Arabidopsis thaliana: one gene and its partner. The protein of the gene in region 1 interacts with the protein of each later gene in a pairwise test. Each region holds a gene or a part of one and is shown in the gene's direction. Other genes may lie near its edges.

The links.
Region 2: the proteins of AT4G32020 (region 1) and AT4G17680 interact in a two-hybrid assay, tested with the Arabidopsis thaliana proteins (one large-scale study listed by BioGRID).

What each region holds. Positions count from the first base shown.
Region 1 is NC_003075.7:15,486,200-15,490,821, forward strand, and holds AT4G32020 (serine/arginine repetitive matrix-like protein), read left to right. Parts: upstream 1-1,714; 5' UTR 1,715-1,876; coding exon 1,877-2,422; 3' UTR 2,423-3,849; downstream 3,850-4,622.
Region 2 is NC_003075.7:9,841,988-9,846,202, reverse strand, and holds AT4G17680 (SBP (S-ribonuclease binding protein) family protein), read left to right. Parts: upstream 1-1,868; 5' UTR 1,869-2,107; coding exon 2,108-2,205; intron 2,206-2,302; coding exon 2,303-2,373; exon of another isoform or gene 2,374-2,452; coding exon 2,453-2,703; exon of another isoform or gene 2,704-2,727; coding exon of another isoform or gene 2,728-2,775; coding exon 2,776-3,300; 3' UTR 3,301-3,593; downstream 3,594-4,215. Other genes in the region: AT4G17690 (Peroxidase superfamily protein), read right to left, coding at 1-76.

The sequences.
Region 1 (4,622 bases):
AATTCATAATTTTACAATATTTATATTAGTATTACGTTTTTTGCACTAATCACTAGATATATGAATATAATTTTAATTAGTTTATGCCCAAAATACACAGAAAGGGCATCAAAAGCATCAATTTATTTTTAATTGACCAAATAGCTTTAGTGATTCTTATTATTAGTAATTTAATACTAGTTGGCGAGAAAAAAAAATACAAAGAAGATGAACAAGTGAAACAAACTTGAGAAATATCCGTGGTCAAAGAAGATAGACGAGTGGGGGTGGCAATAGAGTAAATAGAAAGGAACACGAAGGGTTTGTTTGTAAGGAATATGTTAATAATGGAAGGGCGAAGAAAAAGATGAGACAGAGAGTGGGACCCATAAACGCGTAGCTGAGGTTTTGGTAAGGATCGTCGTGGGTTCCTCCTCTCTCACCCTATAAACCACTTCTTTCTCACGCGCCTCTTTCACATTTATTATTACACCTAAATTTAAATAAATTATTATTATTATTGTGGTCGACCACTTCTTTCAAAAGTTGTTGTCATTTACCTATTCCCAACACATATATTCTACTCCACCTTAAGAATATCTATTTCCTTTTGTCATTAGAAACACTTATACGAACCTGTTACATATTTGCAAGGTCGTATCAATATGTTTATCGACATAATCGTTAGGATCTTTGGGTTTCTCAATGTTTAATAGTCTTTTACCTCTCGTTAATTAGATATAAAGATTGGATTTATATACATAAATACAAATTTAAAATTAGCGTTTCAATATCATATTATTATGGATGTACAATGTATGGGAATAATGTAAAGCTTACTCAAAGCCAAAGGGCGAGATATATTATGCCTAATGGGGTATTATTTTAATGTTTAACGTATGTGATCATGAAAGCGACAAATGCGTAATGGAGGATTTTGTTGCTTGGATACTGTTCGGCAAAGTAGCTTTTTTTAATTCAATTATTTCGTATTATTATTGACAACTTGGCTTAATTATTTAGTGTTAATCATTTTGTTTGTCAACAATTACAAACATCTGCACAATAACCTTTGATGTGACTTCATTTTTGTGTAGGGGGTGATATACCATTTCTTATTCAAAATATTGAAATAGTCCTCAGTGTAAGAAGTAGAGTTTTGGGATCAGCAGCCATATGTCCTCTTCAAATTATATATGTTTATAAAGTTATCTAATGCTTTAAAATATGCATAGCTTTTTTTCTATTTTTTATAAAGTAATTTAATGCTTTCAATTGTACTTATAGATGTAAGATATTAGGTTTAAATTTTAATCTCTGGCCTTTAATTTTGACAAATTACCTTTGAACTTTTGAATTTGGAGATTGTAATCATACATCACACAGAATATCACATATTTGAATACTTTTAATTTTTTGAAATGGTATAGGAAATGAAAAATGTAAAGCTTCTTATTGAATGATAACACACATATGTGATGAGAATAAAAAAGAAAAGAATACAGAATTTATGTGACATATATCTTATTCACAACCATAGTATTGATCCATTGATTAACATATCAAGGAAAGTAATTATAAAGTTAAAGGAAAAAAAAAAAAAAAAAAAAGCTAAACAAAAAACAAAAAAGGAAGAGACAACTAAGCGCGTGTAGTTCACAAACCAGAAGCCGAGAGTCGGTTAAGAAACCGTCTTAAGCTGTTCTTGGACACGCTGAAGCAAATTTAATCGTGTATAAAACTATCCTTCTTCCACCTTCTCATTATATTCATTTCCATCTTTCTAATTTATCTTTCCATTTCCGAGCCGTTGAGAATTTTTTCTGAGAGATAATTTAACAAATTTCTTCTTCTTCTTCTGTTTCTGAACCACCAAATCTGCCTTTCTCAATTAGCTATGGGCGTCGCTGTTCTAAATCCCCAGGATTGCTTGAAAGATCCATTCTCTCACATGAAACAACATCGTAATCCTAGCGCATGTCCCAACAGGCAGAAGAAGACGGTCTCCAACAACCGTACACGCCGGAGTCCTCCTCGTAGTCAATCCTCCAGATCTTCTTCTCCTCCTGTAGCGCCGCCGCTTCCTCCTCCTCGTGCGGCTGTCTCTGCTTTCGTTCCAAAGGGAACCCTTAAGAAGAGTCTTAGCAATACCGTTGCCGTTAGCCAGGTGAGAATCCTTAAGCGCGGCGAAGAAATCCCCAAGGAGACTTCAGATCTGGTTGTGGAAATGTCAGATCTGGGATCTACTCGTCGGATTGGACCAGATCCGGGTTTGATTCCGGGTCAGATCCGTTTATCTGGCCGCAAATCGAAATCAGCACCGTTTTACGCCGGTCCTGTGACCATGACCTCGCCGCCTCCTAGCGATGTCCCGCTTCCAGCTTTCTTCACGAAGAAGGCAACAAATGATCTCATCAGGATCCTTCGCCTAGACATCGCCTGACGGTGTCTGTCACCGATCATTTTTGATTTTTTAAAAATCTCCGATGATCCAAATGGTTACCAAAGTGTTACATTTCCGTATTACCGATCGTCCGATTCCGCCTGAAAACCGGAGATCTGCAACAAAATATAATCTCCAGACGATGATGAATCTAGAAGATGAAGAAACACACATCTTCGTTATGAACCGTTTCGAATCTTCCCTTATTTTTTCAAGGGGCAAGATCGAAATATCTTCTTAACAGGTCTTAGTTTCTCTTCTTAGGGTTTAGTGTTTGTGTAGGAGTATTTGTGTATAGACTTTTTACTAGTTTTCGTATCTTTCTCTGTATCTTCGGGTTTTTAATTTCTGCTTAATCGTCAGGTTCTCTGGGTAAATCATAGGTTGGCTTTTGTCATTTCGTCTGTGTCTTAAGTGGATTAGTTGGTCGTAAGACAAGTTATAGAGATGTGTTTACGGGTAAAGATGAAGCTTAGGTTTTGATGTAATCTTCTTCGGTTTTTCAATTCTCTGTATTTCTCTATCTTTTTAGTTTATCAAGTTTAAGTTTTATTTGGGGTTTCTTCTTCGTTTGGGTATCTTTCTGTTTTTCCTTAAGGTTCTTCGTTTGTTTCCGTGTCGTCTAGGTTAAGTCAAAGTAAAGAGATGTAATTACTGGTTAGATGAATCTTAAGGTTTCCATGTAACCGTTTGTACTACAATTCTCTGTACTTCTCTATCTTTAATATTATCGAATTTAAGTTTTATCTTTGGCGTTTAAAGTTCAGTATTTGGACATTTGATACACATCACATGAGATTAAATAAGATGGTTGACCCAATAAAACCATAAACAAATGAACATACGATGGGTTTACGCAAATGATCTCAATGAATTGTACCTTGGAAAATTATGGAATTTGTGACTAGTATATGTTGAGTTGTATTATTGATTAGCAATTCTGTAATCTCAAACAACTCGGAGAATATGGCGCACAAAAAAATAACTTGCACAGATGTTTCCCGATGTAAGAGCGACAGTTTTGATATGTGTGTGTGTGTGACAGGCAAAGACATTGACAAATTGATATAATCTCTAGTCCAGCGTATAAACAAATCACTAATGCCAATTTGATATCAGAAGTTGAAAGTGACTTTCTCTAAGTTGATAAGTTGATATTGTGCTATCTCAATTATCATCATTACAATGGGTTTAATAGCAATGGATGTTATTATTGTTTAGGTGGGTAATTGATATTTCTTGCTAAGGGTGTCATTATCTCAATATCATATACCGTATGCCACTTGTTTGGTCCAAGTTGTATAAGATATAATGTTCTCTCACAATTAGACAGCCCACCTTAGCCCGATTTAAGGCCCATGTATATATCTCTTCAAGGCTGGACAGCTGGGGCTTGAATTCTAAAAAATTTCTTAGTCATAAATCTGCTGCATTTAGAGATTCTTCTATAAAAGAAACATAAGGTAAGATATATAATCATTAATGACAGAAACTCTTTTTTACTCATCCACAATGTAGCAACTTGCCTTTACCTATTAACGGCGGTACACAGTCGTCAATTGTTCATTGGTCAAGCTTAGCAAAACCATTGAGCCACGTCAGTTTTTTTTTGTTGGTTCCTTTGCAATACTCTACGAACATCATAATTGATGAGAGCATAGGAAGATTTTCTACCTAACAAGGGAAAAAAAAGCAAAACGAAAAAGACGAACCCTAAAGTAATTTTGCCTATTTTTAAAAATTTATTCTTTTAATTTCAGCATTATGCCAAATTTATAATTTTGCGAGAGAATTTTAATTTGGGGAATCTTTACATATTTTTCACATACCCTTTCCCCACACAACTCAGTTTTTGGGTCCCACCTTTCCTTTCTTATTTTTTTTGTCATCACAAACAAACCATTGAGATAAAAAAATTAAATCCAAATCTGCAATCCATCCAGCCACAGACCCGATCTTGCATTTTCGCATCGACATTAAAATGGCAATAAAATAAATCATTTTTTTTTTCTTTTCGAAAAGAACAAAGAAAAATGAGAAAAGGAAGAAAAAAGAGATAGAGGAATAATTTAGAGGGAGCCTCGTATATAACACCATTCCCATCTCTCTCTCTCTCTTTCTCCTCTATTTCGATATTTCTTCTTCTTCTCCTTCTCTCTCCCTTCGTCATTATCTCTCTTCTGTAACTTCTCTTTCTTTC
Region 2 (4,215 bases), 5.6 Mb from region 1:
AATTTGGTGGTGGTGCCGAGTATATAGACGGGACAAAGACTAGGACGACGAAGAGAACATTTATAACCGAAGACATTGTGTATTTCACGAGACTCGTATCGATTTGTGAAAGAAATATTGTTTGTAAAATATGGAAACGGAATTGAAATGTAAAGAGATGTCTATGAGGTAGACTTCTTTATTGAATTGTTATCGGTGAAATATAGAAGCATGTACGTGTGGTTGGAGTTTGGCTTTTGTTATGTTCTTTTTATTTCAGTGATTGGTCTATATTTAGTTTGTTTTTACTTTCATTTTTCATTAGAAACGTTTTCTAACACTAATTCATTATAAAATCGATTGGCTTCTAGGTTAATTAAACCACAAACATGGAATGCATGCTAATTGGGGAAATGTGAAGGTGATTAATCACTCAATTGATTTGTTTTGTATTACTACTCCTGTTTTTGAAAGAATTTTGGAATGGTGATTAATCAACTAAAGCATCTACAGAAAACATTATTGATGGTTAGAGATATGAAAATTTAAATTGATAGGCTAAACATACAAGCAAACTTTTACTTAATCTAATGTTGCTCTTGATTTGAAATATAAACAAAAACAAAATTAAGAAAAATGTTGACTTCTGAGTTCTGACCACTAAAATCATGCAACTGCTTGACAATGGACATGCCATCCATCTTATATCAATTTGTTGCTTACCTTGCCACCACATTTCTAGATTTTTATGTCATCTTGTTGACATTTATTAGTATATAAATTCCTACCATTCTTTCTGACCAACATATGCTAGAACCAAATTATTTGTTGTTAGATATCAATTTTCGCTAACGTGTTACTGTTTATAAAGTATTAAATCATGCCTATATATATTATTATGTTTCATACTCCTCCAAACATTTTGATAAGCTTGATTTTCTTTTTATATATAGTTCAATTTTTGTAATCTCATGTATACGCTATGGCAATGTGTACTGATGACGAAACATTATGTACCTATATGTATCATGTGGTAAGTAGAACATTGTTTGTTTGCTAGAATATGTATGTCGCTTATCGTTTTGAAAAAGACTCACCAGCATATATATAATATGCAACTGTGAAGCATAATATCAATGAGGAAACGTGAAGTGCACCAAGGGATAATCTAATTTGATACCTTTTATTTGAAGAATATATGACGTCCGATCCATTAATGCTTTATATGCATCTAGCCATCGACATGGATCTAGACCTTTCAATAATTGACGACTCCTCCGTTTTCTTTTTATAATATCAAAAATTGGGACATTGGTTATATTGGAAGAGTGGTGAAGGATTTATCCTATACATCAAACCTAGATATGAATCCCAACCAACTATGGACCGCTATTGTTCTCTCTTTGTTTTTTTTTTTTGCTATGAAACTATGGACCGCTATTGTTAGCTTTTTATTTAGTTATTGTAAACATCTTAAATGAAAAAAAAAAAGAAATACTCGGTTCACTATATGCATCATGTAATAATAATCTAGGTTTTGGCCCAAGATCTATCTAAGTTATAATTAAAACGAAAAAAAAAAACAAAAAAAAAAAATTGAAAAAGAAAATTGTTAGGTAGCTAAAACCCTCAGGTACTACAAGATTAACGAATACATCTACAGATTATTCATCTGGAACATGCAAATATGTGATGTATCGACTGATCTAAAATGGATTAGTTTGGTTGAAAGACGGTTTGGTTTAGTTAGGTTGGAAGGGTCTTTGGGAAGAGTGTTACATCGTTCACATCTTTTAATTTTGATTCAGTCTCTAAATTATACTATATAGTCTATATTGCAACTGAAGAATGATTGAAAGAGTACTAGTACTAAGGAAAAAAATAGAAGTAGATGCAAAAAAAAAATGGTAACATTAGTGTGAATCATGCATATAATGTTGAAAGCTTTAAAAAGACCCACAAGTCTTTGTACCCTTTCGTCCCCCTCCCCTCTAAAACCTCATCTTCCCCATTTATTTCTCCCATTCTTTCTCCTTTTCTTTTTCAGTTCTTAATTCATACTTGAAAAAATCAATACATTTTCATCATCATCAGCATCATCATTTCCCATATACACAAACACACATGCATGCCCTTATTATCTGATAATGAACGCATAGGTCTCTTCTCTGATAGCTCAATGGCGATTCAAGCTCAGCATCCTTCACGTTTCTTCTTCAACAACAGGTAAAAATCTTCATATAATCATATAGTAATAGTATACGCCCTGTGTATTTATTATGTATGTGATGTTTTCAATTTCTTATGAAAATTTATTGAACAGTAACGGACAAGAAGCTAGTGATTGTTCGTTGCAGCCTCAAGACACTCCTTTCACTAATTTCACCAAAGCTGGTCTCTCTTCTCATTATTCCCATATCGTTTCCAAATTTTTTCCTTCAATTCCATTCAATCATCACCGTTTTTGAAACAGGGGTTGATTCAAGAAAACGATCAAGAGAAGTTTATTCATCGGCTCTGATGAACCCTCCACCTCCAAAACCGTCGCAAGTTATTGATATAACCGAGTTGTTGCAGAAAACGCCTAACGTGGTTTCCACTGGTCTTCGATTATTTCATGATCAGTCACAGAATCAACAACAGTTTTTTTCTTCTCTTCCCGGAGATGTTACCGGAAAGATTAAACGGCAAAGAGATGAACTAGACAGATTCATTCAGACTCAGGTGTCTTATTAAACTCGACCTAAAATGTGGTTTGGTTTGTTTTTTCTTTGTGTTGATAATTTGATTTTGCAGGGTGAAGAGTTGCGGCGTACGTTAGCGGATAACAGAGAGAGACGCTACGTAGAGTTATTGTGCGCTGCGGAGGAGATAGTCGGACGGAAATTGAGAAAAAAAGAAGCGGAGTTGGAGAAAGCCACGCGCCGTCACGCTGAGCTAGAAGCGCGTGTAGCTCACATCGTGGAAGAGGCGCGAAACTGGCAGTTAAGAGCGGCGACGCGGGAAGCTGAGGTGTCCTCGTTACATGCTCATCTCCAACAAGCCATAGCTAACCGCCTAGATACGGCGGCGAAACAGAGTACGTTCGGAGAAGACGGCGGAGACGCGGAAGAAGCAGAGGACGCTGAATCGGTTTACGTGGATCCGGAGCGGATCGAATTGATCGGACCAAGTTGTAGGATTTGCCGGCGGAAATCTGCGACGGTGATGGCATTGCCGTGTCAACATTTGATTCTTTGTAATGGATGCGACGTCGGAGCAGTGCGAGTCTGTCCGATTTGCCTCGCCGTGAAGACTTCCGGTGTCGAAGTTTTATTTTGATGATGATGAGTATTTAATTGATAGGCCCGTTATAGGCCCATGGGTCCATCCAGATCTAAGCAACAAACAAGACAACAGTACAGAAAAAGGACGTTTTCTATAGGCAAAAATAAAGATTGAAAATGAGATTTGAATTATATATAGTTGATGATGTACATAGGACATAGCCACATGTAGTGGCATTTTTTTCGTTTTGACATCTTCGTTTACTTTCTTTCTTTTGGATATTCTTCGCTTTTTTTTTCAGAAAACGTTTTGAAGAAATTGCTAAAATTGAATTCATTTACGTTAGAAATCTTACTATATTATTTGGGAAGTACATTTTAAATGTAACCTTACTTTTTGTAAATAATTACATAGGTATACCATTAGAAATAAAATTTTAAAGAGTAAATTAATTTATCTGTTTAAGGATTAAAAAGTCAAATACTAATTTAATTAATTAAATTTAATTAAAAAACGAAATACATTTTTAATTTCCAAAAACAATAACCAATCAAAATCAACATATAAGATTTGATATCTAAATTTTAATTAATTTAATTTAATTAGAAAAACGAAATACATTATTAATTTCCAAAAAAATAAACAATTAAAATTAACAAATTAGATTTGATATCTAAATTATCATATTAATTTTTTATTAATTATTATAGTTCACTTCTCATCTTTATATGATTCTATTTTTGCGAAAAAATAATATCATCATTATAAAAAAATAATTAGAGTTTTTTCGCATATGCCATAATTTGAATTTTTAAAAACGAATATAAACTGTTCAATACATGAAAAATATTATAACGGGTGAAAATAGATTTAAGAAAACTTTCTACTGAGTTAACAGGTCATAATTTGAAATATTTATATTCAATTTTATACATATTATATTAAAAAATTATAATCTTATATACTACA